3 linked regions of the Astyanax mexicanus genome follow. The protein of the gene in region 1 purifies or fractionates together with the protein of each later gene. This does not show direct contact. Links are inferred from orthologs where the notes say so. Each region holds a gene or a part of one and is shown in the gene's direction. Other genes may lie near its edges. The genes, in order: kinesin light chain 2, kif5aa and kif5c.

Region 1 (10,389 bases):
CAGACCTGGGCCCTGGCAGTAAACCTAAAAAAGACAAATACTTTAGTATTTCAAAAAAGATCCAGATCTCAGGGATCACAACACACATTTAGGTTAGGAAAAGAGGTGATCAATCACTCCTCTAACTATAACTATTTAGGTATTAAAATCAGTTCTACAGGGAATTTTCATCAGGCAGTGGGTGAACTGAGAGAAAAAGCACACAGAGCTTTCTACGCCATAAAACGACAAATCTTTGCAGAAATTACAATCAGAATATGGATTAAAATATTTGAATCTGTAATTGAACCCATCGCCCTTTATGGCAGTGAAGTGTGGGGTCCGCTTACAAATCAACAATTTGAAAAATGGGACAAACACCCATTTGAGACTCTGCATACAGAATTCTGTAAAAACATTCTAAAGGTGCACCGACACACCACCAACAACGCATGCAGAGCAGAATTAGGCCAATATCCTCTCCTCTTAAAAATACAGAAACGGGCGATCAAATTCTGGAAACACCTGAAACACAGCGACCCCCACTCACATCATTATAAAGCTCTGCAGTACCAAGAGTTGAGCAAAGACAACAATCCCCTCACTCAGCTGGTCCAACCAAGTTACAGCTAATCTGAGAGAAGCGTACCTGCATTATTGGGTAACTCAAACTAAAACCCAGAGTAAGATGCAGTGCTATTTGGCCCTAAAGAGACAGTACACTGTGGGGGAGTACCTGAGCACAGTGACTGATCTGAAAATGAGGTCCACCTTGACCAGGTACAGACTCCGGCCGGCACAAGAGATCCTGGGTGCCTCCGGAAAACAGAACATGCCAGCTGTGCAACCAAAACACACCAGAGACAGAGCTGCACTTTCTGACAGAATGCCCCAAATACACTGAGATTTGCAAAGAATTCTACAAAAAATTCAGTAATAAACACCCCCAGTTTACCCGCCTTACAGACCCAGAGAAACTCCCCTATCTGTTAGGAGAGAAAAGAGAGAGCTGCACTCTTGCAGCCCAATACATCACAGCCTGTCACCGAGAGAGAGACAGAGAGTGACCATATCATACTAAATATCACATTAACACACACACACACACGCAAATGCACACGCACACTATACACACACACACACACACACACACAAACAATTTTAGTTAATTTGTCTCATTACTTCTTTCACTAATTATATTATGCTTTATTATTATTTATTTATTATTATCTATTTTATCTTTATATATTTATTTAATTTTTGCATTGTTTTAAAATGTAGAATCTGTTCTGTTCTACATTCTAGAAATTGTTAATCCCTGAATCAGTTCTATACTTTTACTTTACTGTTAAATCTGTATAACTCAGGCTTTGGCAACACAAATGTAGTGCTATTTGTCATGCCAATAAAGCACCTTGAATTGAATTGAATTGAATTGAGAGAGTGAGAGAGAGAGAGAGAGAGAGAGAGAGAGAGGCATGGATAGGGAGACAGGGGAAAGGTTTTGAGTATATTAAAAATGCTGTGTTAATGATATTAAATCAAGTTTAATTATTGTCAAGACCCCTTCACACTGCCTTGAAACATGTCAAGTCATGTCAAACTGTGATTGAATAGTCATTGAATAACAAGCTGAATAAAATATGTTTTCCAATAAATAATCCTCAAACAAAATATCAGGGTTACACGCACACGCAGCCACAGCTACTACAACAAAACCACTTGCTGTTTCATTATCTCTTTATTGTTGTTTATTAAAGGGGAAACGTGAAACTAGTCAAATGGCTTGTTGTATTCACATAAGTGAAATCACACCCTTGGCCAAATTCACTCAATTTAATCGGTGTCAAAGATAGCATTCATCAGACAAGCAATTTTGTCTTAAATTTAAATAATTGCAAAATTGCTAGATTAATTTGTGTCTCTGCACTTAAGAGAAATTGAACATAATAATTTTGAAACAATACAAATTCATAAACATTAAGTAAGGGCCTGAATTTTTAGGTCCCTAGAAAGTCAAGGAGGCATGGTAAACGACTTCTATGGAAGTCAAGGGCCCCATAGCAGGAGCCCTCGTGATCAAGGGCCCTCTAATGGTATGCCCTGCTCTTCTCTAGGTCCCCCTGGTAGGGGCTCTCATAACCAGGGCCCTCTAAAAATATGCCCCCCTCTTTCCTAGGACCCCTAATAGCCAGAAGTCGAAGTCAGAGCAGTGCCACAACGCCTCAAAAAGGGCCCAAAAGCATGGCTAGGAGCCCCAAAAGCATGGCTAGGGCCGCCAAGAGGCCCTGGGGTCAAATCTCTAATAGTCAGAGGATCCTTAAAATGGAGGGCCCTCTGTAATAAAAATATATTCTACCATAAATGTTGATAGGCATCGCAAAAAGTTTTCGGCCTCTGGCTGGCCCCACTGGCCCGGTCAGTAATCCAGCCATGCATAGATGCCGCATCGACTGACGCCGTCTATTGGAGCTGAACTGCCTGACAAGCAGCTGGCACCCATTAGGTGCAAGGGCTCATATATGTATATGTATATAATATAAAAAACAGTGTATGTTACGCTTGAATAATATATGGACAACAATTGTCGTTTATTAATATTAATTCTTTGCATTATTTAAGGTCTGAAAGCTCAGTATCATTTTTGTTATTTCAGCCATTTCTCATTTTCTGCAAATCTCTTAATAAAAAAAAAATTGGAATTTGGGTAAAAATGTTGTCTGTAGTTAGATAGAATAGAATAAAACAACAACATTCATAGACCTGTAAATAGCTAAATCAGAGAAACTAATTCAGAAACTGAAGTGGTCTGTGAGAAAACACACACACACACACAGACCCAAGTGGTTTTTTAGTTAATATTAGAGAAAATGCAATTTTAATATCCTTAGGCTACACTATTATTATAATACGGAGCCCGGGAGGGGCCATGGATTAAAAAAATTATTAAATCGAGTGAACGATATAGCAGTTCGTGCTCATGTTTTCTTTAATTCGAGTGAACGATTTGCAAATCGTGCTCACGATTTCTTTAATTCGTGCTCACGAGTTCTTTAATTCGTGCTCACGATTTCTGTAATTCGAGTGAACGATTTCTGTAATTCGTGCTCACGAGTTCTTTAATTCGTGCTCACGATTTCTGTAATTCGAGTGAACGTGTTTTATGCGCAATAAGACAAGAAACTCGGAGGGAAAGGAGCATTTTTCTCTCTTGATCTGTTTCAGGGGTGCAGTGAAGATAATCAGTTATCTACATTTATAACCTGCTGATTATTAATGAAAATCCTTTGATGAGCTTAAATTATTCAGGATCTTAAGTCACATTGTTTCACATCAATTTCCAACAGAGTTATCACATATCACACTTTTGTCCATATCATATACCCCTGCTGGGAACGGGTGATATTAAACAATAGATGAATAGATGAAATATGACCCTGTTATATTATAGAGGTGGGCAACATGATGGATATGTGCTGTGAATAAGAGAGTATTTGAGAAGCAGTTTTTAAGAATCTGCTTGTGTTGATGTATTTTGTCTGTCAAAACATTGTGATAAAATCTATCAAAAATGTCTTTAAATATCGCAATATTATATTTATTTATTATATCACACAACTCTTGTCTGTCATAATTTTTTTCTATTCTTTAAACATGATTTTCATTTCTATAAATTAGTTCATATATTTTTCTTAAAAATATATATTTTCCCTGTTTTTAGGATATAACTAATTTGAATCCTGCCATGCCACAACCCAAACATTCATAGGTATTTACAGAAAATGATTAAACTGCAGGTCAAAGAAAAATATTACCAGCCATCAATCAATATCTATATCAGTCAGGACTTAATAAAAAGTAAAATTTCTCATAATCCCAAAACTTGACTTTAACATATCAGTTGCTTTAGTGAATCAGGTCGTTCTAAGGGTCTCACTATTGGAGTTTTATGTTAATAAAGAGAGAACATTGTTCTTGAATTCCACAAGCTTTGGTGTTTGGCTCTGCATTTTGGCTAAAGCTAAACCCCAAGGCACAGCTGATGGTGGGGTAGAATAGCACTCTTTCATATTTGGCACAAAAGCCTGTGGTTACAGAGGGAGAGTCTGAGATTGTGGATGAAAAGAGTATTTTTGCACATGCACTTGTTTGTTTTAGCAGTCCTTAGCCGTTTGCCTTTTGCCTATATAAAGAATCAACAACGCTTGTACATATCTTAAGAAGTGCTTGTAATATGAAGTTCTTTTATTGTTATTTTTTTTTTATTCAACATGTTTTGTAGTACTGCTTTTTCATGATTCAGTTGTCTTTGGGGTAATGTGTGGGATATAAACTGAAAGTGTTCATTTTTTTTAAATAAACACACCTTATTTGTTCTCCGCCTTCAGTGTTCTCTTCATATGTCCACAGGAACATCTGCATCTACAGGAGCAGTTTCAGGATTTATCGAAATTTATCGAAAATAAGTGTGCATGTCTGAATTACTATGAGGAGCTTTCTTTTATTTAAAGCAATATCCTAAAAAAAAGCTTCAACAAGCTTTGTTTCTAAAGCTGGAATCCACCACAGAATAGCATTGTGTGAAGTGTGTGATTGTGTAAAGGGTGAAGCACATTAAAGTTCTAGCTAAGTCTATTTATTTATTCATTTAAATGTAGGAATGCAGTGCTTTTATGGTCAGTTTAATGTTTATCAGTTTAGGCAAATTTGGAAAGAGGAAATTGGGTGTAAAACCATTTTTTTTTTTGCATTTAGTAAAGTGAAGTAAATGGGCTTTTCATACAGTTTTCTAGGTTTTTTTGTGGCTGCTCCTCAGATATGATATTTAGGAAAATTTAACAAACACTCTCGATTTTCAGATATTTACAAATATAGACTGTACCTTTTTTTTTTTTACAAGAAGCAATAATGAAAAAATCTGATTTTTTTTCCTGAAATTCAGATTGTGAGTGGCAGCAATAGAAAACTCGAAAACTGGAAAAGGATAAAAACACATTTCTTCATTATATTGAAATGGAAAAAAAGCAATTCATGGTTTTGGTGTAAAATGTTATGGAGAGTTTAATGCCCGGAGATGTACCAACCTACCAGGCCTGCAGGGTGCAAACAAAATCTATAAAAAAATCTTATTATTATTATTATTATTATTATTATTATTATAACCGGACCGTTCTTGATATCCCACATAAATGAACCGTTACATTGTAAAATATCTGCTGGCTGTGCTCTAATATGCGCGCTTGTGTCCTAACAAGGGTACTTGGTTACTGCATCGATTACACAAGCTTAGCGTTTCTAGCCAGGGCACTAGTGCGTAATTTGGAGCACAGCCACGGTGCGCATGCTCCGTCGGCTGTCCTTGGCGGTTGGTTATTAGGCATATAGACAAACGCCCGCAGCTAGCAGCGAGCCCCGGGTCTGGCTGGCAGTGTCTCACACAGCGGGGAGAGGCTTCTGGAGCGGGTACCGTCTCCACCCAGCGCTGGATAACCCCGGGGAACGGGCGAGGATGGGCGGACGGACTGATGAAGCGAGCTGATCTGTATTTCTCCGTGTTCAGAGAGGGATAACCGGCGCCGTACAGCCGGATAGATTTCAGCAGCGGGCGAGCGAGCGGCGCGTCCGTTAGCTGTTAACGTTTAGCCTGCTTAGCTACGGGTACGATGCTTCAGTCTGAATCTGGGCTGTTTCACCTTTAAACATATTTAATCACGGGTTTAAAGGATTTATATTTTACTAAAACCCAATAGAACACGATCAGAACTCCGTCAGAACCCGTGTTTCAGCGAAAAAGGTAAGATAAACAAATGTCTGTTTAACGTTACTGTCGCACAATTTATTAGGTCATGTAGCCAAACATTTCATATTTACTGTTCTTAAATATATTTTCATGCCCTTATTGCTATGTTTAGCCTTCTGTATTCGGGATTTTCTATATTATCTAGGTAATTCGTGGCTAAATGATGACTGGTTGGCTGGCAGATAGCAAACCTAGGTTAGCTAGCTTAGCTAACCTAACTCTACAAAGCCGGGCATCTGACCTGCTCTGTCAATTTGTGCCACCCTGTCAAAACGCGCAAGCTAGCTGGAGGTGGGTAATCTCTTAAAATATATATGTAAATATTGAGATACTAAAAATACTCAAATCTCAAATAAAAACTAAGTATTTAAAAATAATGATAGCATGTCAAAATAATGAGATCTCAAAATATAAAAGTTTTTTTGTAGATTTTTATTTTAACACAAACTTACATTGTGTCATAATGTCTTGATGAATGGACCAATAGAAATTCTCTAAAATTATCCTAAATAAATTCCATATAGACTTCCATTGAAAATGAAGGTTTTATTTCCTTTATGTAAAGTTGCTTTCGTGCATTCGTGAAATAACGACCTGGTATCTCAAAATAATGACTTCATAGGATCTCAGAATAATGACTTCATAGGATTTCAGAATGACTTCATAGGATCTCAAAATAATGACTTCATAGGATCTCAAAATAATGACTTCATAGGATCTCAGAATAATGACTTCATAGGATTTCAGAATGACTTCATAGGATCTCAAAATAATGACTTCATAGGATCTCAAAATAATGACTTCATAGGATCACAAAATAATGACTTCATAGGATCTCAAAATAATGACTTCATAGGATCTCAAAATAATGACTTCATTGGATCTCAAAATAATGACAGTATCTCAAATCAATGATTTTATAGGATTTCAGAAAAATGACCTAGTATATCAAAATAATGACTTCATAGGATCTAAATAACGACTTATTAGTATCTCAAGCAATGTTTGTACTAAGCTCATATTGTATATAATACACCAAAGAAAAACAGAATCATCACATACAACTCTTTAAAACGATGGGTCAGCGCATGCGCAGAACGCCTGGGTAGCACATATAGATGTGTAGCGCAACTGGGCAGAACACAGGCCAGGCTTTGTCCAGCTACAGTGACGAAGTCTAGCGCTAGGTTAGCATTTAGGCTAAAAACACGAGCTTGAAAGGGTCTTTCCTCTTGTTTGGATGCGATGTCAGCAGTCTCAGTCTGTATAATCTGGAGCTGGGTGGATTTTAATTCTTTAAATTAAACCAGAACAGAGACTACGTGAAGGTTTGTGCTGTTTATTTGAGCTATTTTGTTGAATTCGTGATGCGCCATTCACGTGTATTGATTGAAGTCTGCTTTTGGACTGTTTTATAACGTGCTCTTTATCTTTATCTTACTTTACTTTTCTTTGAGATTATTTGGCTTGAATTTGTTATTTAGCTACAATTTTAATAGATTTTCGTTTTGTTCCCGTTCTACCTTAAAAAAAAAACAAGCATGGTTACATTATGAAGCTCCACGGGGCCAACGTATAACTACTGCAAAATTTAAGGTGGAACGGAAAATTCCAACAAAAAGCCAAATTAAGTCTTGTAAAGTCCAGTGTTTTGCTGAATGGCGCCCCTGTGATGTCCTGTCGGTCACCTTGATTGATCCTAAATCTAATTCTACACATCCATACACTCATCCTTTAATTAGGTCTTAGTAAAATATGATCAGATAGAGAAATATGCTGGAGCCTGCACAGATAGTCTATGGGACACTTAAAGTAAAGTAGTGTGGTGCATGTTTGGTGCTCAGTTCAGCATCCTGCTCCATCTGATGGAAGTAACAGGCTTCCTCCTCTGCTGCATTGCAGTGAATAATACACGGGGTGGGGGGTGGTGGAGGTGGAGGAGGTTTTAAGTGTGCGCCACCTGGTGCATGAACGTTGAATTTTAGACTGCAAGAGGCTGATTTCTGAGCTTTCCGTCATCCAGGGACCAGGGACCTCATGTACTAAGACTTGCGTGGACTTCCTACTAAAATGTTCCGTACGCTGAGACCTGAAAAGTTCCGTACGCACAAAAAAATCCGGATTTATCAAACCGTGCGTAGGCAGAATCCCACGTACTTTCTCTTAGTTCTTCACAATCAACTTGAAATCAAGCGCACGAAAACATCACACCTGCTACGACTCCTCCCTCAATTACGCAGAGTATAATGTTATGATGATAATAATAATAATAATAATAATAATAATAATAATAATAATATGCTAGAGTAGAATATGCAAGTCAAGAAAGAAAAGTGTCGCAAGACGCATAGCGTAATAACTAATAATTACCCAAGTTTAAATGTATTATTCTAAGATGCATATTAAATTGTTTCATTTAAATGCTTTAAATCAGTTGCTCACCAAGAAGCCGCCCGTCACGCACTCAACTTGTTTTCTTATCCTCTTATGCTCTTGGAAACCAACGGCTTATAAGTCAGTCATCATCATGGGCCAAAAAAACATAATGGTCACGGAAAATTAGCAATTATTAGCAATATTTTCCAATAATGCAACGCTGCCATCTCCAACAACTCCAGCACGCACTTTTATCCATGTTTATACAATCTAGGCTAAGTGGAAACACGTTGAACGATTATTTCTGTAAGCCAATGAAACTGTCTGATTAATTTACTTTATTTTACCCATTAATGGCTTATTACTACAATGTGTGCCTAAAGGATATCTTAATAGTTGTAATTTCAATGCATCGCCTCTAAGTGTCGCCAAATGACAAAAAAACAATACAAACGTACAAAAAAAATAAACATGCGTACGCCCGAAACAAAAGTGCCGTGGGGGAACGCACTTTCTCACGTTCAAGTCACATTTAGTACATCTGGCTGTGAGCGTGAAATATGGCGTACACAATGTTTTTGTGCGTACGCACCTTTAGTACATGAGGCCCCAGATTATGAAACATTTCCAGGTCCAGTCCTGCTTTATGACAGTTTTCAGTCTATTTCTTAATATTTTCTGAGGACAGAGGTGGCTCATTGGTTAGAGCACTGAGTTATGGATCACAGAACGTAGGGTGAAGAAATTTGCCACTGTTGGGCTCTTCAGCAAGGCCTTCTCTGCTCCAGGGGACAGAGATGCGATATCAAAAAGAAGCATTTAATTGTACTGTGCACGTTTTAATATTAATAGAAAATACATTAAACATTAATCTACATTGTATAAACAGACAGTCAGGCATTAAATTTCACATACTACTTCATATAAACACAGAAGAACAATAACATTTATGATAAGATTTGTTTTTCCATTGTTTACACTAAAATGAGGTCAGTGATGCACCCTAGAAACCAGCTAACTCATTTCCCATTGTCCTACTTTTTCGTGTGCCGTGTTGTGGACTGCTCTTTGTCTTTGGTAGATAACAAAGCAGCTGTCACTCCACCATCCCTTTTAAATATTAACTCAGTGTTGGGTCTCAGCTTCTTTAGGATGTTGTCTTCTTTCATTGAAAATGACACACAACAAATTATAATTAGTAATATGCATAGAGCTGCAAACTAGAGGGCTTTAATGTAATTCTTGTTACTACAGAACTTTCGATTATGTTACGAACATTTTGATTTGTATACAATTTATTTCAAAGTTGTAAAAGTCTAAATTCATGGGATGGTTCATGAGAAAGATTAATGCAATTTTACGTATGATTCCAGGATGACATATTGCCAGTACTGTTTTCTATTTCAGTCCATTGTTGTGAAGAATATATTATTCCAGTTTATTATTTACAGTTTTACTGTATCTTGGCAACATGTATAGACTTCACTTCCGTAGAATTTGTCTTTGTAAGATTGCTGCTTGCAAAATTAAAGAAAGTGAAAGTACCTATGGCATCATGTTTGGCAGCCAGCTAACCAGTCACAGCAGTGATGATCACTCCCAAATTTCCCATTCTTGGATCACACGCTTTCCCAGATAAATGCAAGCAGGGTAGTGTGGGGAGACACCTCACTGCTGTTCCAGAGAAAAGGGTTATGCAAGCACATTCTCTTTCATCATTTGTTGTGTATCTCACTTCGGGGGACTGGTATAAAACAGACACTGTGGAGGAAATAAAAGTGTCCAATGCAAATTAATAGGAGCATTGAGGTGTGGAAGGCAAGAGGAAAGAAATTACAGACCCCCAACCATTTGAGTAATGAAAAATGTAAATGAAAAGAAAAGGCTCTTGGAAAGATCTTCAAAGATGAGAGTGGAAAGTAAAGTTGCTGGAAAAGAGCGGTGCACCTGTGTATTGTGTATGTTCACATACTTTCCTTTTAAAAAATACCATCCACTTGACTTATATGTAGTCATGTGACTCTGTCCCCTCTTAAAGTAAAATGCTCAATTAGTTTGCGATATTGATTTGAGGTCATATCACCCAGCATTAATTCTCATATGTGTGGTATGTGGAATGAATATACTGACTGTGTACTCTAAAAGAGTTTTATCAGGTAGAATGTAGGGCTGCAACGATTAGACGATTTAAACGATAATGTCAATGAATTAAATTTGTCGACTACAAATTGCAT
Region 2 (10,546 bases), on another chromosome or scaffold:
CCTAAAAATGAGCAGGAAAGTATAGTTAAATAATATAGAATAAGGACCATAAGCTAGCGTTTACAGTTCCACTGGTGCGGGAGGTGGTCGCTCAGGTATACTCACTGGTCGTATTGAGCCATGGTGCTGAAGTGAAGCTGTGTGGGCTGAGGCTGTGGTCACTCTGTTATGATGATGGTAGTATAAAAGAAAGAGAACAGGAATAAAGGAATAGTTTCACACATAAGAACTCCAAACACACGTTCACAACCTCTATTCCTGGCCAGTGAAGCTAGTATACTGCAGCCGGGCTAAATTTGGGAGTCCTGTCAGGCAGAGCTACAGCAGACAATAAGAGTATCTACATATCTAATGCACATCTTCACTTAGCTACGACAATCTGTCAAACAGCATTAAAACTTTTAGAGAAACTTCAGGTTTGACTTTGCTTTAGCCACACACACACTCACAACATGTACACACACAATTACACACTCACACACACACATACACACACACACAAACATTAAAGCAATGTAGGCCACACATACCTGCTAAATGAGCAAGGTTTTAATCCAGCTGGCAGATCAGAGTTAAAGATTGATCTCAGAAGTCCAGATTATACTGGTCAGATACTGGCTGAGGCTATCAATTTCCTCCCTGGCTGTGTGTGTGTGTGTACAGTGTGGCTCTATTGGTCACTAAAATGGGCACTGTGTATGTGTGTCTGTCTGTCTATCATGTTGAGCAGTTCAGACAGCTGCTGGATGCCTCAGCTGGTGGATGACGAGGGGTAATAAGACACTCGGTTACTTCCCTCTCTACAGTCCCTCTCTCTCTCACACACACTCACAAGCACAGCTTTTACAATCAACCATGCCTGAAATTAAGGAACACACATCTACACCTCATTCCTGTCTACAGTCGCATAATGATCATTGATATTGATTGTAGTTTACTTAAGCAGCTCCATGAAATGGTTTAATTTTAATAAAGTATATTGTCGCTGTCCAATGAAAAAAAGGCTTAATTTTTGTCGATTTTTAGATTGCTACATAATTTCAACAAACCAACTGTGCTTTACACTGTGTTAAAATGTCTTAAATTACCTGAAATAAACTGTTTTAACATCGACTTTCATTGAAAGTCAAAAAGGTTTTATCTCTCTCTTGTAAAGTTGCTGTTTTTGAGATACTTCTTCGTAAAGCTTAGATTCTTTGCCCAAACCCAACCCGACCCGGGCCCAGATTTCCTACCACTTTCCTCAGGCTGGGACTGTTTTATAAAGCTGTTTTTATTTTATAGAATAATCACAATATAGCAAAGTAACAAATCAAACTGTGTTTTAAATTCGAGGTTCGAATGGGAGCTCCTTCGCTTGTCCGTCCGTAGCCTTATTGTTGTTTTATGTCTTTTGCACTAAGACTATATGTTTAAAATAAAAAAAACTGTTTGTTCAGAAAGTGTTTTATATTCTTAGACATTATTTATTACATTAGAGTAGACAGGAAGATCAGTTCCTAATAAACATTTTTCTTAAATAACAGGTCTATGCTTCTTCAGTGTTGCAATGTTAACTATCATGATTTTGAACAGATTTCGCTCATTTAAACAGCCCAAAAATGTTTTCAAAAAGCAGAGTTATAATAAACTACTTACTAAAACAATGTTTGAATTCAATCGAACTCAGGCTTACAAAATAAGTTTATGGGGCGGGGCTTGTTTTTCATTGGATAGAGATGATATGAAAAAAAGTTTTGGGACTTTTGGGACCTGTTCATTCATTGTTTCCTCCAAAATCAGTGTTAAGTTAAATAAGTATCAAATAAGTACCTGTCTCTTATTTGCAGTGATTTTTGACCCCTGCTGTGATAATTTGATCGCATTTTGAAAAACTGAATTAGTGAGGTCAGAATGTTGTATGATTTCACCTCCTCCCAAATGTTGGAGGTAGCACCATCATCATTCCAGAGGTTTTTATCCCTCTAGCCCAGATCTGCCTAAAACTTTTTTCTCTGTTCTAGAGAGTCCATTTCTATTGGCAATGATTCTTTGCAGGTAATAGACAAGCTGAGTTTATGCATTTTTTTGCATTTTGTATGTGTCAGAAGTGGTAGAAATGGACAGTCCTTAAGTTTTAGAGTGCATTCAAAAAAGTACCCTTTACGTACGTTTTAACCCTTTCAAACCATGTGTTCATTGCAAAGGAAAACATCTGTCTTCTTCTTTTATGTATTCTTGCAGACAGATTGAGACCTATTATGCATCAGAACAGACATACATCAGCCAAACAGCAGTTTAGCCCTGCCACGGCAATGGAAAAGTAAAAGTCTGCACAGTAAAGCGCTAAATATGGCAGAGTAACACTGATTTTATGAGTTTAGAAATGCTTATGAATGATTGTGAAAAACTTTTATATAAAGGAGTTATATAAAAATTATATGGAGTAAAAATAACAGTGCTAAACAAATTTCACACTTCACTGCAATAAACAGAAAATACATTTATTTTTTTATTTGCTGAACCTTTTTTGGAGTGCATCATAGACAGAAAAGTGGATTATTATTCAATATTTTTTCATCACTGGAGAATACATCAATGTCTGGGGATTTTAGTGACAGCTATGTTGAGCTCTTTTTTTACTTTGTCAGCCCTTATCAGTTCTCTAATTCTGTGTTTTATTGTTTTATGATTTGTAAATGAGCAGATGAAAACTGAATTTGCCTTTCGGATGTCAGCCTACAGTAGTTAGGCTCCACCCATTTACGCTGAATTTTTAAGGAGGGTTTCTACATTTACTGAGCCATTCAGAATAGAGATTATTTATCTATAGCATTATTAAAGTGATTTTGTGTTTTAATCAGAAAAACTAATATTATCAAGTTGCAAGAACTTACCAGCCAGTAAAGCTCAATAAAATGAGTTCAGAGAACTTTAACCTGAAAACTTAAAAATGCTTGTTGAGCCAAAGAAATTAAATAATTGTTGTGTGAACAAAAATCTGTTAAGTTGAATAAACTTAAAATTGTATATATTTACGACTTAATGGAGTCAATGCAAAAGGATGAATTGACTGAGTTAAGTTGAGCCATTTTTTTTTCCTGTACAGTAACAAAGAACTTCTGATAAATGGAATTGCAACTGTTTTTGGGACCTACACACATGCAAATAATAGTAAATGAAATGATATGTGGAATATGCCCCGTCTAATTCATATAATCCTAATTATTTTGTATATCTATCAATTCTTCCGGTGTATTCTTGATAATGATGTTTGAAGCTACTGGATACAATTAAGTATCTATGTACCTACCTACCTACCTGTCCATCTGTCTGCTGTCTGTTTGATGTTTACAGGGCATTAAAAGAACCAGACATTTACACCAATTTTCTGTATCCATAAGACAGTGTGCTGCTGATATACTTGTATTAAAGTCTAATCAATACCAAACGTCCACTTTAGAACCGTTTAAAGAACTGAAAGTCTGAGAAAGTAAGAATCAGGGGTATAATCTCAATGACCCCATAGACCCCTTGCCCCTAATTAGACAAAGTGACTGCATCAGATCTGCATGTTCATAGGCTGTACACATTCTATCTGCATTAAATATCAAGAACATTTTAAAACATTACCAGATTGTTTTGTGTTGTGAAACAATGTGCTTTGTCATTGCTGTAGAACTGCAGAATCAGGGTCTTTTAACGAGAACTTCAGCGCTGGGTATTTATGTTGTTTTCTTTCCCACCCGTATTCAGACCGGCTTTGCCTCGTGTGCTGGGATTGGCTAGAATTCTAGACGGAAAGCCAATCACAGCGCAGGACACAACGTGGAAATGAATAGGGCAGTAGTAACTGTATTTTTTCAGTTTTCTACAAATAATGTACAGATTTTAAGAGATTACCCAAAACATAAAAAAGCCAAATAACTGTAGTGAAACCACTGCTTTCTAACAAAAAAAATAAAAAATAAAAATAAAAATGCTAAATAACTGTAGTGAAAACACTGCTTTCTAACAAAAATAAAAATGCAGTAGAACTGTAGTGAAAACACTGCTTTCTAACAAAAATAAAATGCTAAATAACTCTAGTGAAAACACTGCTTTCTAACAAAAAATGTTAAATAATTGTAATAAAACCACTTCTTTCTAACAAAAACAAAAATGCTGATTAACTGCAGTGAAACCATTGCTGTCTAACAACAAATAAAAATGCGGTAAAACTGTGGTGAAAACACTGTTTTCTAACAAAAATAAATAAAAATGCTAAATAACTGTAGTGATACCACTGCTTTCTAAGAAATAATAAAAATGCTGAATAACTGTAGTGATACCACTGCTTTCTAAGAAATAATAAAAATGCTGAATAATTGTAGTGAAACCACTGCTTTCTAATAAAATAGACAAAAAAAAATGCTGAATAACTGTAGTGAAACTGTTGCACCTTAGCCTGTGTCTGTCTTGAATTATTTCCTCTTTTGGTTCCATGTGCTTCTGTCCTCTGTTTTTCTGTTTTGTTATTGTCCTTTCTCAGCCCTAGCCCCGTCCTAGCCATTTGATCCCAGTGTTATTGTTTTGAATAGTCTTTGTACTTGTCTAACTAAATAGTTATCCCAGTGTTGTTTATTGTGTTTTTGCATTTCCGGTGTTTTCTGTTTTGCTTTTGTTTATCTTGCTTGATTTTATTTCATTTAATTGATATTATCTGCATTTATGTCCATCCTCTCATCCTTCTGTTTGTGACTTATTTAACAAAAAAATAACGCTGAACAACTGTAGTAAAACCACTGCTTTATAATAAAAAATACAACAAATAAAAATGCTGAACTATAATAAAACTACTACTTTCTAACAAAAAATAGAAAAATGCTGAATAACTGTAGTGAAACAACTGCTCTCTAACCAAAATTAAATTGCTAAATAACTAGTGAAACCACTGATTTCTAACAAAAATAAAAACACTGAATAACTAGTGAAACCACTGCTTTCTAATAAAAAATAAAAATGCTGAATAACTGTACGGAAACACCTGCTTTCGAATAAAAAATAAAAATGCTGAATAACTATATGTAAACCCCTACTTTCTAATAAAAAATAAAAACTCTGAATAACTGTAGGGAAACCCCTGCTTTCTAATAAAAAATAAAAATGCTAATTAACTGTAATGAAACCACTGCTTTCTAATAAAAAAAATACAACAAATAAAAATCCTGAACAACTGTAGTAAAACCACTGCTTTCTTACAAAAAAAATGCTGAATAACTGTAGTGAAACCACTGCTTTTTAACAAAAATAAAAATGCAAAATAACTAGCATTTTTAAACCAAAAAATTTTCTAACAAAAATAAAAACTCTGAATAACTGTAGTGGAATCACTGCTTTCTAACAACAAAATACAAAAAAATAAAAATGCTGAATAACTGTGGTAAAACCACTGCTTGATAACAAAAAAAGAACAAATCAAAATTCAGAATAACTTTAGTGAAACCACTTCTTTCTAATAAAATATTCCAAAAATAAAAATGCTGAATAACTTTAGTGAAACCACTGCTTTCTAACAAAATATTTAAAAAACAAATTTGCAAAAAAAAAAAAATGCTGAATAACTGCAGTGAACCCCCTGCTTTCTAACAACAAATAAAAACACACAGTGGGCGCGTCATTCTTCCTCTTACGGGAAAACAGATCCTGTCAGCCTATCGCAGCGCGGGGGGCGTGGTCTGTCTGAATGCGGGTGGGGAGTGAAACACAGCTATACTAGCGCGGATGCGAGTACCGCTTTAACAGCAGCGGATAGACCACGCCCTGCCGTCCGGGAGGCTACAGGCAGCTCAGCATCCTTCGCCCTACAAGAGCTGCTTCACCTTCGCCAAGAACAACAGCGGAACAGAGCAGAGCGGGCGGGCGAACAGCGGCGGATTTACCGGGTTTTTTTTATCTTCGCAGCTCCACCTTTAATCTGCGGCTCTGCTCTCTGCATCGCAGCGGCGGATATAACATATTTACGCAACGTAAGCTTTCACTGGCAGATTTATTTATTTATTTATTATTATTAGCCTTATTTACCTTTATTTTTGTAATGCAGTCTGAATCATATATATATATATTAATAACGCGAATGTTGTTGTTTTATTATTCCAGCCCGCTTTTCTCCAGTCTCGTGCAGTCTCAGTGTGCATCATGACCGAGCCCGCCGCAGAATGCAACATCAAGGTGCTGTGCCGCTTTCGCCCTCTGAATCAGGCCGAGATCCACCGCGGAGATAAATTTCTCCCCACCTTCCAGGGGGATGACACCGTCGTGGTTGGGGTAGGGCTGCTTATCTAGCTTCTTTTTTTTTTTTTTACATAATATGATTAATTTAACCCAGAGATGTAATATATACAGTGTAACGGCTGTGAGGAAGAGGCTGGTTTACTGAACGGGAGAAATGGCGTTGGCTGAGGATGATGCTGAGGCATACTGAGGATGGGCCGTATGACGTAATCACCGCTCGTTTATCATTATTCTCCCTGCTGTAAATCGGTACCCGAGCCATTCATTTAACCTTCGTTGTGTAGAAGCTTTTTCCTCAGGCTGCGGTCAGTGGGGTGATGTAGATCCGGGTGTTTTTGTCTTTCTCTGCTTGGTTGTTTAGATGGTTGGTTAGATGCTGGGCTCTGCTGGGCTCTGCGTTAGTGTTTATTAATGTAGGCCCGTAGGCTGTTTATAGCCACGTTTCCCTCTGATCGATCAACCCAGGTTCTCCAGATCCACAGCCTAAATATCCGTTTACTGATAAAAAAAAGACCTGAAAAAGGGCAGTGATTTATTTTTGTATTTAGTTTTTCTTTTTTTTAATTATGATGATGATGTTACAGATGCTGATGCTGATATACAGGTTCATTCTACAACTGAAGGGAGGGTACTGTGGGGGTTTTGCATCTCCCCCTATAATAAATCTGATTTTTAAAAAATCAGTGTCATATAATAATTCTAATAAATTAATTGCATTCATTTTTTGCTATTAATTACTGTTAATTTATATATGTTTAGGCATTTGTATGTGTACATATATACACAATATTATCTAAATGAATCCCACCCACTCATTATTGACTATTTAATTATTTAATTATTTAAATAGTGTTTTTCAAATTTCTATCTAAATTTTTCACCAATTTAGCTGTATCTATTATACCACTCATTCAGTTGCACTCCCCCTACATGTGAACTCAGCCACCACCTCTTTTTAAAATGCTGTTGATGTAGCATTACCGTGTAGCATCACAGCACACTCGGAGGAAAGCACAGTGACCCACATCTGATACATCAACTAACAGACAATGTGCTGATCCACATCACTTTGTGAGTGATGTGGAGAGAGAAAGAGAGCACTGTCTACCCACCCAGAGAGAGCAAGGATCATCAATACTGTTGATGTATGTTTTTTAGGCATTTGTATTTACATACAAAATAATAGTTAAATGAATCTCAACCACACATTATTGACCATCTCCATCTCCTGATTAATACAGTCCATTTGTTTTTTACATTAAAAAAATTGAACGCTACTAACTGCTATAAATAAGGCTGGGGCGATATGGCAAAACTATGATTTCACAGTATTTATAGACAGTTTTGAATCCATTTGATTAATCAAATAACCTTTTTAATGATAGATAGATAATTAATAGATAATTGAGCTTGTACATTTTTACATATAGAAGCTGTCAGATGAAATCTCAGTAAAGTATCTTTGCACTGTGTTTAATATAAAAGCTGCATATAAGGTTAAAGGCAGCTGCATACTTTTTGTAAAAAAAATGGATGTAAGAACTAAAAATTGTAATAGTATTCAAGAATTACCCATGTATTTGAAGAATATGGAGATCATTTTTTTTTACAATATCACTCAGCCCTTCTATACAGATAATATTGTGAAATTTACAAAAAATAGTAATAATCTCTTTAAAAAATACAAACACTTCAAAACAAGAACAATCAAGTACAAATACTTTTATTCAAAATAAAATGTATTGGATGAAATGTATTCAATTAAATTGCATAAAGTTGGGCCAGTGTTTTTTAAGCACTGTTGATATCCATGATATGCTTAAAAATATATACACAAAAATATGCACAAAAAGATCTCAAAAAATTAGAATATCATTGAGAACTATTTTACTACTTTATTTCAGTAATTCAGTTCATAATGTGAAACTCATATATATTATTCTAATTTCCTGAGACAATGATTTTTAAGTTTTCATTGGCTGTAAGTCATAATCATCAACAGTAAAATAAATAAATGCTTAAAATAGATCACTCTATGTGTAATACATATATATATATATATATATATATATATATATATAATAAAAGTTTCACATTTTCAACTGAATTCCTAAAATAAAGTAACTTTTCACACACACACATATATATTTATTTATTTATTTATTTATTTATTGCAGTAGTATATAAATAACATTCCAGCTTTGTTATCTCTGACATAAAATTGCATAAAATCTGCAAACCATTCTAATAAAGGCCTGTGACCTGCACCTAATGTCACTTTCTCTGGTTGGAAACGTATAAAATGTATGATAGTCAGAGAGATACAGCACCTGTCAAAAGAGACACACCTTCTCATTCAGTATTTTTCTTCATTTCCTTATTTATTTAAATAATTAATATTAAAACATGAAAATAATTAAGAACAATCATGAACAACCCTGTTTCATATTTAAAGAGTGATAACAGAGTTGATTAATGAGTTAAATCTTTTCATAATTGAAATGTACCTACAATTCTAGAATAAGCTATATCAAGAAATTTACATGTGGCTTAACAAGCAGGGTTTTGTTTTTAAAAATCATCTCGCTTTTCTCCCAAATATAGCTGTGTTGATTATCCCACCCACTCAGCTGCAGACACCTATCACTAGTAATGCCAAACACCAGGGTGAGGGTAAAGACTAGCACATGCCTCTTCCGACACATGTAAAGTCAGCTACCGCCTCTTTTTAAATTGCTGCTGCTGATGTAGCATTACCATGTAGCATCACAGCGCACTCGGAGGAAAGCGCAGTGACTCAGCTCTGATACATCAGCTAACAGACTCCTGTGCTGACTGACATCACTTTTGGAGTGATGTGGGAAGAGAGAGAGCGCTATCTACCCACCCAGAAAGAGCAAGGATAATTTTGCTCTCTCAGACTCTGGCTGCTAATGGCAAGCTGCATGACCGGGATTCAAACCAGCGATCTCCTGATCATAATGGCAGCACCTTAGTCTACTGGACCACTCAGAGCCCAACAAGCAGCTTTTTGACTAACTAGAATTTGGCGTCTCTTTAAAGATAAAAACTAAGATCGTGCTTAAATGACCGAGCTGACCTGTGGGTTCTTTTGTTCTGCAAGACACAGGCTACACGTACTGCGAGATACATATATATATAAGCCCATATAAGTCATATATAATGTAAAATAAGCAGTGTTTTCACAGAGATACGAATATATGTAGTCATCCATGGTCACAATCACATCTGATTATGTCTCCTTGTTAGGGATGAGCAATTTTTAGCATCCAGACTCTGCCTGAGCCCATCAGCAGCAGTCACAGGCTAATAACAGACCTGGGGTGGGAGCATAAGGAGTGGGAGGTCCGGGAGAGGGGGGGAGGATGATGCTGCACAAGTAAATTCTGTGTTGTCTGCTGATACCTCACTGCAGTGCATTAGCAGACATCAACAGCCTTCCAGACAGGCCTGCTGTCTGCATGAGACTATTAAATATGAAAATGCAGATAAATGTTAATAACTACCAATCTATAATTTTAATTAATGCATGTAAATAAAATGTGTGTCAATGTGTAAAATGTGTTTTATTTATTTGCATGAAACATACGGCTCTGGAAAAAAAATTAAAAGACCACTTCAGTTTCTGAATCAGTTTCTCTGATTTTGCCATTTATAGGTTTATGTTTGAGTAAAATGAACATTGTTATTTTTTTCTATAAACTACAGACAACATTTCTTCCAAATTCCAAATAAAAATACTGTCATTTAGAGCATTTATTTGCAGAAAATGATAAATGGCTGAAATGACCAAAAAGATTCTGAGCTTTCAGACCTAAAAAATGCAAAAAAAAAAATAAAAACAGTTCATATTCATAAAGTTTTAAGAGTTCAAAAATCAATATTTGGTGGAATAACCCTGGTTTTTAATCATAGTTTTCATGCATCTTGGCATGTTCTCCTCCACCAGTCTTACACACTGCTTTTGGATAACTGTATGCCTTTTCAAGCAGTTCAGTTTGGTTTGATGGCTTGTGATCCTCCATCTTCCTCTTGATTATATTCCAGAGGTTTTCAATTTGGTAAAAAATATAAAATATATATATAAATTACTGAATTGAATAGAATTACAGTACATTTGTTATATTACATGATTGCAGTAAAGATACAATGTTTTTCTCATTATTTCTGTCTTTTTAAGAGACTTACACCTCCTGCGTAAGTCTTGTATAAAACTCTTGTATAGGTTGCTGTTGTTAAAAATGATGCAAAATGGGAAACTGATTAAGTTTGA
Region 3 (10,284 bases), on another chromosome or scaffold:
CTAGAATATACTCTAGTCAATTTGATTTGCTATTATTACCCATACAGAACTTTTATGAATCTGTGAGTGGAGATCCACAAGGGTCAATTGTAGGACCTTTGAAACTGTAAAGAACTGAAATGTAAAAGCTTACACACAGGATCTAACAAGTTAAGCACTAAACACAAACAGAGCTTACGTGACAATTAGAGGTAAAAACTATTTGGACTTCAATCATTAATATATTTTTTGTGCCTGTATTAAATATTCATCTGGTGTACCACCCTGTAATGGTTTGCGTACCACTAGTGGTACATTATCTGAGATTTTTTTCTTTAAAAAAATACAGAATGCTGCCCAAAGTGAATATACAACCTTGTTTAGAAAGTGTACAACAAGAATGTAAGAATAGAGTAAGAGTATAAATAGCCAAGTATACTTACTTCTGTAACTCCAACACTCCAGCTCACCGGCCAGTCTCAATGCACACTGTAGCAGTGATGATAGCTCCTTTACTGTATAAACCTGTTTGCTGTAGAAAAGCAAGCATACAATAATATGTACGTTTATATGTACGTTTTCTTTGTATGTTTAGCACAATACCTAATCCTAAATTAGTTACTCGCTTCCATATGTATTTTTAGCCGTTTAGATCCATTCATCCCCATTCATTTTCTGCTTGCGCGCGGGCTCCCTCTAGTGGTAATCAGTAATTTTCTGATATAACTGGAATCTATAGATAGTAGGTAGTCTCTCCATAAAACAGCTCTGGATGGATTCTCTGCTTCTCCACTTCTCTGGAGTTACTGGAACCACAGTTACAGAGTCAGCGCCCCTACCTGGACTGTAGGACAAGAGCTGGTTTATTATTGATGGTTTATTAACTGCTGCCAAGAAATACTCCAGCATTGTCATGCCAAATACATCACTGCAATAATTTAATTTATATATATTCCATTTATTTAAGAAATGTTTGCTCAATAATAAATCACATCACATTCTGAATGTTTCTTGAGATTTATTTGGAAATTATGTTTCTTTTTATCGCTTTCTTGTCTCAGTTGGGCTTAGGTGCATACGTTGGGGGAAAACTCCATAGTCATATTTACATATTCCATCAAATGTATTTTTACTTGTATCCATGATCCAATTTGTGTTTATAAGCTTACATTTGTGGATAAACTATCCATACAGTAAACTGTAGTATGTAATATTTTGTGTAGATTTCCCTCTGATTCCCAACATTTCCTTTTCACTAGTCCAGACTGCATTCTATTTCATTGGCAAAAAGCCGTTTTTGTTTCAGGCCCACATCAGCAGCCCCTAAACCTCCAAAACAGTTGGGTTTCTCTAGTAAATGTGTTTACTGAGCTTCCTTTCTTACTCCTACCTTCCACTCTCAACCCATGGAGGCGTGTTTCTGTGAAAGCACCAGAAAACTGCAGTAGAGATCAGATTACCCATCAACCCCTGCACAACCATTAAATTCAACCACCTGATTTAAAGGTTTTGCTCGTTTTCCTCGTCATTGACAGGTAAAAATGATTTTAATGGTTTTAACGTGTTTTGTTCTACAAGTCTAAATTATTTTCTCGATTTTTTTCCTCTTAGTCACCACAATCAAAAACACTTCTTAGATCACAGACTATTTAAAGTCTCACAAACCTGACTACACTTTATACCCTGAGCGTTCCAATAAGCCACACAGATATTAACTAGCGGTTTGTCCCACATAGAATGTTTTACTTCAGTAATCGCGCAGGCTACAATCCGATATAATTGTATAGTATACCTTATATTATGAAAAAGACGGTAATTAATAGTTAATACTATTCACCTACCCACACTGACTGTTTAAATGTATTTAACTGTGGTTTAATCAGTGTGATACTTTAAATATGGTTTTTAACATTTTTGTAAAAAAATAAAAATAAAACATTGAATGAGAAGGTGTGTTTAAACACTTGACGTGTCTGTATTGATTAATAATACAAAAAAATGCATGAGTAAAATATAAATAAATTAAAGTAAGTTTACTTAAGTTTACAATTTCACTTAATTAAACCCACTTTAGATGTTGTCCCTTTGGGGTTTCAATGAGATATTATGCTCATATGTCAATACACTTTATGATAACGTACTGTGATTAATTTAGTCTTATTATTGTGATAGATTTTTTGGCCATATTGTCCACCTCTGTTTGGAGTCAATGTGCAATTGTTCTCTTACCTATAAATCAAAGTGCAGTACCTGCATCCTCTCGTTTGGGGGCACTGTGGGATAGTAAGTCAACAGCATCAATACACCAGCAAGGGGGGGGTGTTGCGCTGGATTGAGTCATAGGGATCTGTCTGAAACACAAGACATTGATGGCTTGCTGACTTGATGCCTTGCTGTCCACACTATCTCACTTAGAAGGCATTGTAGTAAAGCTTTGTGTCTGAAATGTGAGAAATGCTGCTTACTTGAGGCAGGAAGGCATGTCTGAATTAAAGTTCAGTGATGTAGGATTCTGTTTTATTAACCCTTAGATGCATGAGACTATCTATCTATCTATCTATCTATCTATCTATCTATCTATCTATCTATCTATCTATCTATCTATCTATCTACAGTTGTGGTCAAAAGTTTACATACACTTGTAAAAAAACATAATGTTATGGCTGTCTTGAGTTTTCAATAAGTTCTACAACTCTTATTTTTCTGTGATAGAGTGATCGGAACACATACATGTTTGTCACAAAAAACAGTCATAAAATTTGGTTCTTTCATAAATTTATTATGGGTCTGCTGAAAATGTCACCAAATCTGCTGGGTCAAAAATATACATACAGCAACATTAGTATTTGGTTACATGTCCCTTGGCCATTTTCACGGCAACTAGGCGCTTTTGGTAGCCATCCACAAGCTCCTGGCAAGCTTCAGGTCGAATGTTTGACCACTCTTCTTGACAGAATTGGTGCAGTTCAGCTAAATGTGATGGTTTTCTTGCATGAACCCGTTTCTTTAGCACTGTCCACATGTTCTCAATGGGGTTTAAGTCAGGACTTTGGGAAGGCCATTCTAAAACCTTAATTCTAGCCTGGTTTAGCCATTCCTTTACCACTTTTGATGTGTGTTTTGGGTCATTGTCTTGTTGGAACACCCAACTGCGCCCAAGACCCAACCTTCGGGCTGATGGTTTTAAGTTTTCCTGCAGAATTTGGAGGTAATCCTCCTTCTTCATTATCCCATTTACTTTCTGCAAAGAACCAGTTCCACTGGCAGCAAAACATCCCCAGAGCATAATACTACCACCACCATGCTTGACAGTAGGCATGGTGTTCCTGGGATTAAAGGCCTCACCTTTTCTCCTCCAAACATATTGCTGGGTGTTGTGGCCAAACAGCTCAATTTTTGTTTCGTCTGACCAGAGAACTTTCCTCCAGAAGGTTTTATCTTTGTCCATGTGATCAGCAGCAAACTTCAGCCGAGTCTTAAGGTGCCTTTTCTGGAGCAAGGGCTTCTTTCTTGCACGGCAGCCTCTCAGTCCATGGCGATGTAAAACACGCTTGACTGTGGAGACTGACACCTGTGTTCCATCAGCTTCCAAATCCTTGCAGACCTGCTTCTTGGTGATTCTTGGTTGACTCTTGACCATCCTGACCAATCTCCTCTCGGCAGCATGTGATAGCTTGCGTTTTCTTCCTGATCGTGGCAGTGACACAACTGTTCCATGCACTTTATACTTGCGTATAATTGTCTGCACAGTTGCTCTTGGGACCTGTAGCTGCTTTGAAATGGCTCCAAGTGACTTCCCTGACTTGTTCAAGTCAATAATTCGCTTTTTCAGATCCACACTGAGTTCCTTTGACTTTCCCATTGTAGCTTTTGTAGCTGAGTCTAATCACTGGGTCAAATGAGCCCTATTTAAATGGGCTCATGAGAAGTCAACAGCTGTAGTCAATCAGAATCACTTACAAGAAGTGAAGAGGCCATGACATGAAGCTAATTTGATTGACACAACTCGCTACATCACCAAAATTGACAAATTTTGTTGCTGTATGTATATTTTTGACCCAGCAGATTTGGTGACATTTTCAGCAGACCCATAATAAATTTATGAAAGAACCAAATTTTATGACTGTTTTTTGTGACAAACATGTATGTGTTCCGATCACTCTATCACAGAAAAATAAGAGTTGTAGAACTTATTGAAAACTCAAGACAGCCATAACATTATGTTTTTTTACAAGTGTATGTAAACTTTTGACCACAACTGTATCTATCTATCTATCTATCTATCTATCTATCTATCTATCTATCTATCTATCTATCTATCTATCTATCTATCTATCTATCTATCACTTACCTACCTACCTAGGTATCATTTGTCTATTTTTAAGTTTGCAAAACTAATTATAATAATAATACATTTTATTTGTAATGCACTTTACAGTTCAAAGAAATCTCAATGTGCTAAATTAATAATTATCTGGCTAACCAAGCTAGAAAGACATGCAGACACAGACAGACAGACAGACAGACAGACAGACAGATAGATAGATGCATAGTCTGCATGTCTGTCTGTCTGTGTCTGCGTGTCTGTCTAGCTTCATTAGCCAGATAATAACTTTTGCAAACTTAAAAAATAATAAAATTGTGTGTCAGAAAATAGTAAACACATACTCCTTAACACACACACACACACACACACACAGTAAATACAGTAATATTAGCTAGCTTATAATTATAATTAGATAGTAGCAATAAATGAAACCTCTGTGACCTTTGTACATTACTCTTCTTAAGGGCTGATATTTATAATATATTCTGTGTGGTCTACAGTCACAGCTGATAAGAATCAATTGTCATTTTAGATCCACCTATGAAAGATTGGGGTCGTAAAACAAAACAAAGAATTTTTGTAAAAAGGATAAAAAGCAATTTTAAAAAATGGCAGTAAATCAGTAACACTTTTCCCGAGGAATGTTTCCAATATGAAAAAAACAATAAATAAAGAAACAAAGGAAAACAACCTCACCAGGTTATTTTTGATCCACTTTTGCATAATAAGAGCTAACAGCCAATAGTCAGTTGTTATTACTTTGGCAATGACAAGACTTTTTCTTCCTTCTGATTTGGACACAAAGAGATTTTTCTCACTACACTGCCTTCTGAATGGGATTGTGTATGAATCAAAAGGAAAAGACACATTCTGAGTTTATCAATGTATTAAATCCAGCAAACTGCTTGATATGAACTGTTCCTATATAACAAAATATCAGAAATTATTTATTTTTGCACATTCTGTTTACATTGATTCAACATTAATTCGAAGTTATGGTTTTATTTGTACTGTTTGTATTAAATTTTACTTATGTTAAATATGTATATCTTGTTTGTGTTATATTTATTACATTATTTTTTTTTGCTACAGAGCCTCAACCATTCAAAGCCTTTAAATAAATATTGATTTAATGTCAGAATTTTAACACCAACTGAGAATATGAAATAAACATACATTTTTGGTTGCCTAAATATATATATCAAATAATCAACAGTTTGTGGCACTTGTGAAAATGTCTGATTATTTTGCAATTGTATTATCATCACACCCGTGACAGTGACATAAAACAATCTTAGTTACAATCATATTATTAATTTAATGCTTTATTTTTTTAAATCATATTTTACTAATAACATAAAATGAATGGACACAAATAAATAAATTCTGATGTCCGAGATTTGTTTAATTGCATTAGAGATGGAACAATTACCGTTAATTCAACGTTTAATAACGTTAAATTAATATTGTTAAAAGATTGTTTTTCCATCATCAACATTATTTAGACTTGGCCTGGTCTCTTCCTGCCTCAGAATCATGTTTAAATGGGCAGCGTGTCTTACCTTTCAGACAAAGCTGAGATCTCGCCGGACAGTCTCGCCAATCCCAGCACGGGTTTAGGATCCCACCAGCCAATCACAACGCAACGGGGGCGGGATTTCGCCGAAAACAGGCGCGCTGAGGAAAAACGCCGCTTTTGGTGCTGATGCTGCTGCAAGAGGGGCGATGCAGCGACTGCAGTCTTTACCTCAGTGCATCTGACCGCAGAACAGGGGACGTTTAAAAGAGGTTTTATTTATTTATTAGTCATTTTACCTCATTTTACTGCAGTTTAAACACACAGACCTGGTTTAAACGTGTGTAGAGACAGTTTACAACATTAGAAAGAGGGATATTAGAAGGGTATTCGGCAGCAAACAACAACAGCAGCAACAGCAGCTAGCGGTGAACGGAGATGTGTAGCTGAGCTGCTTTACAGGCTTTAAGTTCTTCAACTTTTTCTGGATATAAAGCTCGTTTTTCAGTCGGGTTTCGCCATGGTGGATGCGGCTGAGTGCGGGGTGAAGGTGATGTGCCGGTTCAGGCCACTCAACGAGTCGGAAATCAACAGAGGAGACAAATATATACCCAAATTTAAGGGGGAAGACACGGTGGTTGTCACGGTAAGTCTAATTTGGTTTAACAGACTAAATCTAACGTTTAAAGCTTAATATGTTAAAACAATAGCTATACTTTTATTTTTCATAAGAATAAAGAAAGAATATGGCTCAGCCATATTCAGCCCAGTAGAGATTTGTGGTGTTGATATAACAGGTTGACAGTGTTCATCACCTTCTGGTGAACTTACAGTGCTATAGCTGCTATACACACAAACACACACACACATACATATATATATATATATATATATGTATAAATGTATTTATTCATTTTTTATTTTTCAGTCATAATGACTAATCATTATACTATTGTAAGAAGCACACATCATGCAAGAGGACCAAGACACATATAATAATTATCCATTTAATATATATATATTAATATACTCAGCATACAGAGATATTTACTAGTCCCAGTAGTATAATCATACAACAATGCATAATTTAAGATACATATAATGATCCATTTACACATAGAGAATTATGTTACAGTTTTAAACAAGATTAGAATAAATCTACAGTATACTCTCCATATTATTATTATTATTATTATTATTATTATTATTATTATTACTTAGCATAAATAAATCGAAAAATATATTGTATATAGTATATATCAGTCCTTTTAATTAAAATTTATGTTTATTGCACTTTAAATCAGTCTGATTATTATGCTATTTTATTATCATTGACATAAGACAATGTTAAAATTACAATAATACTTGTAATCATGTATATTTTATTTATATGTATTTTATATTTTGTATCTTTTAAATATATTTTATTTATTTGGTTAATGCAGTTTTTCTTCTTAATAACTCATATATTCAAAACAAATATAAAACAAAATGTGACAGGTCTAGAAAGAATGTTAGATATAAGTTAGAATGCTAAATTAATAATTTTGGCCATTAGCAGTGTTGCTATCTCTATGGCTTATATTGCAGTAACAAATAACATCATTTAGCTGTAGTGTTTATTTTAAAGCTGGTAATGCCTGTTATATGCTTATTATATATAGCCCGATTCAGTACATGTTGTTTAATACTGTAAACTAAAATACTGTAAACTGTATGTGTAAATGGATCATTAATGGATTATGTCCTTTAGTCTTGTATGATGTGTGTTGCTTTAAATAGGCTACACAAACACAGTCTACATACATCCTACAGGCTTTTGTGTGAAAGCCAAGATGCTGATGGAGCTCATGATGGAGCTCAGACATCAACACCTCATTGAATGGGGGAAAATATATAATTTTAAATTATAATTAAATATTTTTCCTTACTATAAAGATTGGTAAATGAGGACAGTGATCAATAAACATATAAATATTTATGTTAAATCAAAATATCTAAAAAGTAATTCATGATCTACTGAAAAACCAGCATGACCAGCTCAGGCTCGACCAGCATGTTGATGTGGGTCATGCTGGTCATCAGCTAAACCTTCAAACACAAACAAAACCAATACTGGTCAGGAACTTAGCTGGTCAACCAGCTTAATCATAAAATATAAAATCTTAATATTTTTCATTGGGGTGTGCCATATTGTATAACACACAATATATTGTGACATTAAATAGATTGTCATGAGTAAATAATCTATATTAAATTCGTCAATTAATTAGTATTTAATTTTAAGCATATTGTCATCTGTGATTTGCTGGTGTTGGTCCACTCTATTATATCAAGTCTAAAGTCAGTGCAGTTTTGTTTTCCCAGAAAATCTTACAGCACTTCATGCTTCCCTCTGCTGATAACTTTTATGGAGATGCGGATTTTTTCCAGCACACTGCCAAAAGTACCAATCGGTTTTTCATAATATTCTGATTTTCTGAAACACTTATTTTTGGGTTTTTATTGACTGTAAGCTGTAATAATCAACAATAAAAGAAAAAAAAACTGAACATTGTTGTTTTCTTTTATAAACTAAAAACAACATTTCTCCCAAATTCCAAATAGAAATATTGTAATTTAGAGCATTTATTTGCAGAAAATGAGAAATGGCTAAAATAACAAAAAATGCAGAGCTATCAGACCTCAAATAATGTAAAAAAAACAAGTTCCTAATTATAAAGTAAAATATATATTTGGTGCAATAGCAATAACAATATATATATATGTGGTTACTGTTCCTCTTTGCTAGTCTTTATAGTTACCAAAAATGGTTTTATATATTGTTCCAGCAGTTTAGTGAAATGGATGTTTATTTCTGGTCTAAGCTCCATCAAGATCTTGGCTTTCACACTTTTTTACTAGTTTTACAGTAAATTGCACTGTATCACCACACAATAAAAAAACACTGTGTACCTTTTTATATTAAGTAATGCTATATGAATAATGGATAAAGTAATGCCCCCTTTTAACCCCTAATGTATTTGCTGTTTTTTTTCTACAATGTGTCATGTGCCTGGATGTGAAAAACATCAATGAATGATTAACCTTAATGCATAATTTAATATGCACGTCTAAAATTAACCCCTAATGAAGGTTCATTTTCTGTGTTGTAATTATTCAGCCTAATCCTGGCTGTGTTCTCTTCTTCTACACAGTCTGTAATCTCATTTTAAGACCAGCAAAGTGAATTTCAGGCTGAATCAGGGACAGTGCTTATTTCAGCCAATAAATGTTCATTCTTGCCCAGAGTATTACAGGATTTTACAGTTTTCTGTATAACTAAGCACAAATTTCCAATAAAAAGGACTACAATCAGATTTTTTTTATTTTGTAGTATACAAGACAAATGAGCCACTACTTGTTCAGATTAAGGGTGCACTGTATGTAAATTCAGGGCAGATGTCAATATCCAATATTACACATGTATGTAACTTAAAAGGTCTTGCTCCATCTTTCTCTCATTCATTTTGAAATGTCTAGTTGTGGCCTCTATTGTGAATGAATGCCATTAGAACTGTTTTTTGTGAATAAATTGTAGTTACACTTTTGTAGCACCTTTCTAGAAACCCAAGGGCACTTTACAATTTACACGTTTTACACAACCATTTTATACTTGGCACTCATTCACACACCGGTGAGAAGCGGCAGCCAATAGCGCACAGTGTACTCTCAACCGGAAACAACCGTCCACCTAGACCACTGCAGCAATTACTCAGAACAGAATGCCAATCCATATCTGGGCACAGTGATACATACATTTACACACACACTTACACATACACACCAGATCAATTTAGAGTATTCAATTTTTTCTAGGCAATTTAGAGTTTTCAATTTACCTGATGGATTGGCAGCCTGTTCAGGGTGTATACTGCCTTCTGCCTGTAAAGCTACGTGAAAGAACGGATGAGGAGAGCAGGGCAAGTAATTTATTAAACAGAAAACAAACCAAGTAAACCAACACAGGATCTGAGTACAAACTGAATAATGAACAGAACAAATACGCTGCCGAGACTGATGCATAACACGCACAAGAACCGACAAACTAACACTGACGACAAAGGAGCTCACAAGGCGGGAGAGGGAACAGGTAACACCTGGGGACTAATTAATGAGGGGCGGAGTTACAAATGAACACAGGGGAGTGGAAAATTACTGGGGAACACACAGGGAAACGAGAAACACAGGGAAAACAGGGCAAGGGCGTGACACCGCCCAATGCCGGCTGGTATAGGCTGGATTTATTTCCTCCATTAAAGCTCCGTAAAAGCTTCAAAGTTAAACTCAGTAACTCAGTGAAATAAAATTCTTAAAAAAGCTTTAAAGCTACTCTGTTATAATAAAGCAAAAAAGGATCTAGTCACAACAAGTCAACTGATAAGCACGATTGAAAAAGTAGATTAGGGGAACAGATTGCAAC

The links.
Region 2: the proteins of kinesin light chain 2 (region 1) and kif5aa purify together in Homo sapiens (affinity purification with western blotting; 3 studies listed by BioGRID and IntAct, with this or other methods). This does not show direct contact. The link is inferred for Astyanax mexicanus from reciprocal best matches to the Homo sapiens genes KLC2 and KIF5A.
Region 3: the proteins of kinesin light chain 2 (region 1) and kif5c purify together in Homo sapiens (affinity purification with western blotting; 3 studies listed by BioGRID and IntAct, with this or other methods). This does not show direct contact. The link is inferred for Astyanax mexicanus from reciprocal best matches to the Homo sapiens genes KLC2 and KIF5C.

Annotation. Positions count from the first base shown.
Region 1 is NC_064415.1:13,525,753-13,536,141, forward strand, and holds the start of kinesin light chain 2, read left to right. Parts: upstream 1-5,684; 5' UTR 5,685-5,773; intron 5,774-6,924; exon of another isoform or gene 6,925-7,107; intron 7,108-10,389. UniProt on the Homo sapiens protein: Kinesin is a microtubule-associated force-producing protein that plays a role in organelle transport. The light chain functions in coupling of cargo to the heavy chain or in the modulation of its ATPase activity.
Region 2 is NC_064419.1:9,769,215-9,779,760, reverse strand, and holds the start of kif5aa (kinesin family member 5Aa), read left to right. Parts: upstream 1-5,773; 5' UTR 5,774-5,987; intron 5,988-6,117; 5' UTR 6,118-6,156; coding exon 6,157-6,285; intron 6,286-10,546. Other genes in the region: stac3 (SH3 and cysteine-rich domain-containing protein 3), read right to left, coding at 106-122. UniProt on the Homo sapiens protein: Microtubule-dependent motor required for slow axonal transport of neurofilament proteins (NFH, NFM and NFL). Can induce formation of neurite-like membrane protrusions in non-neuronal cells in a ZFYVE27-dependent manner.
Region 3 is NC_064418.1:15,257,815-15,268,098, forward strand, and holds the start of kif5c (kinesin heavy chain), read left to right. Parts: upstream 1-6,006; 5' UTR 6,007-6,342; coding exon 6,343-6,468; intron 6,469-10,284. UniProt on the Homo sapiens protein: Microtubule-associated force-producing protein that may play a role in organelle transport. Has ATPase activity. Involved in synaptic transmission. Mediates dendritic trafficking of mRNAs.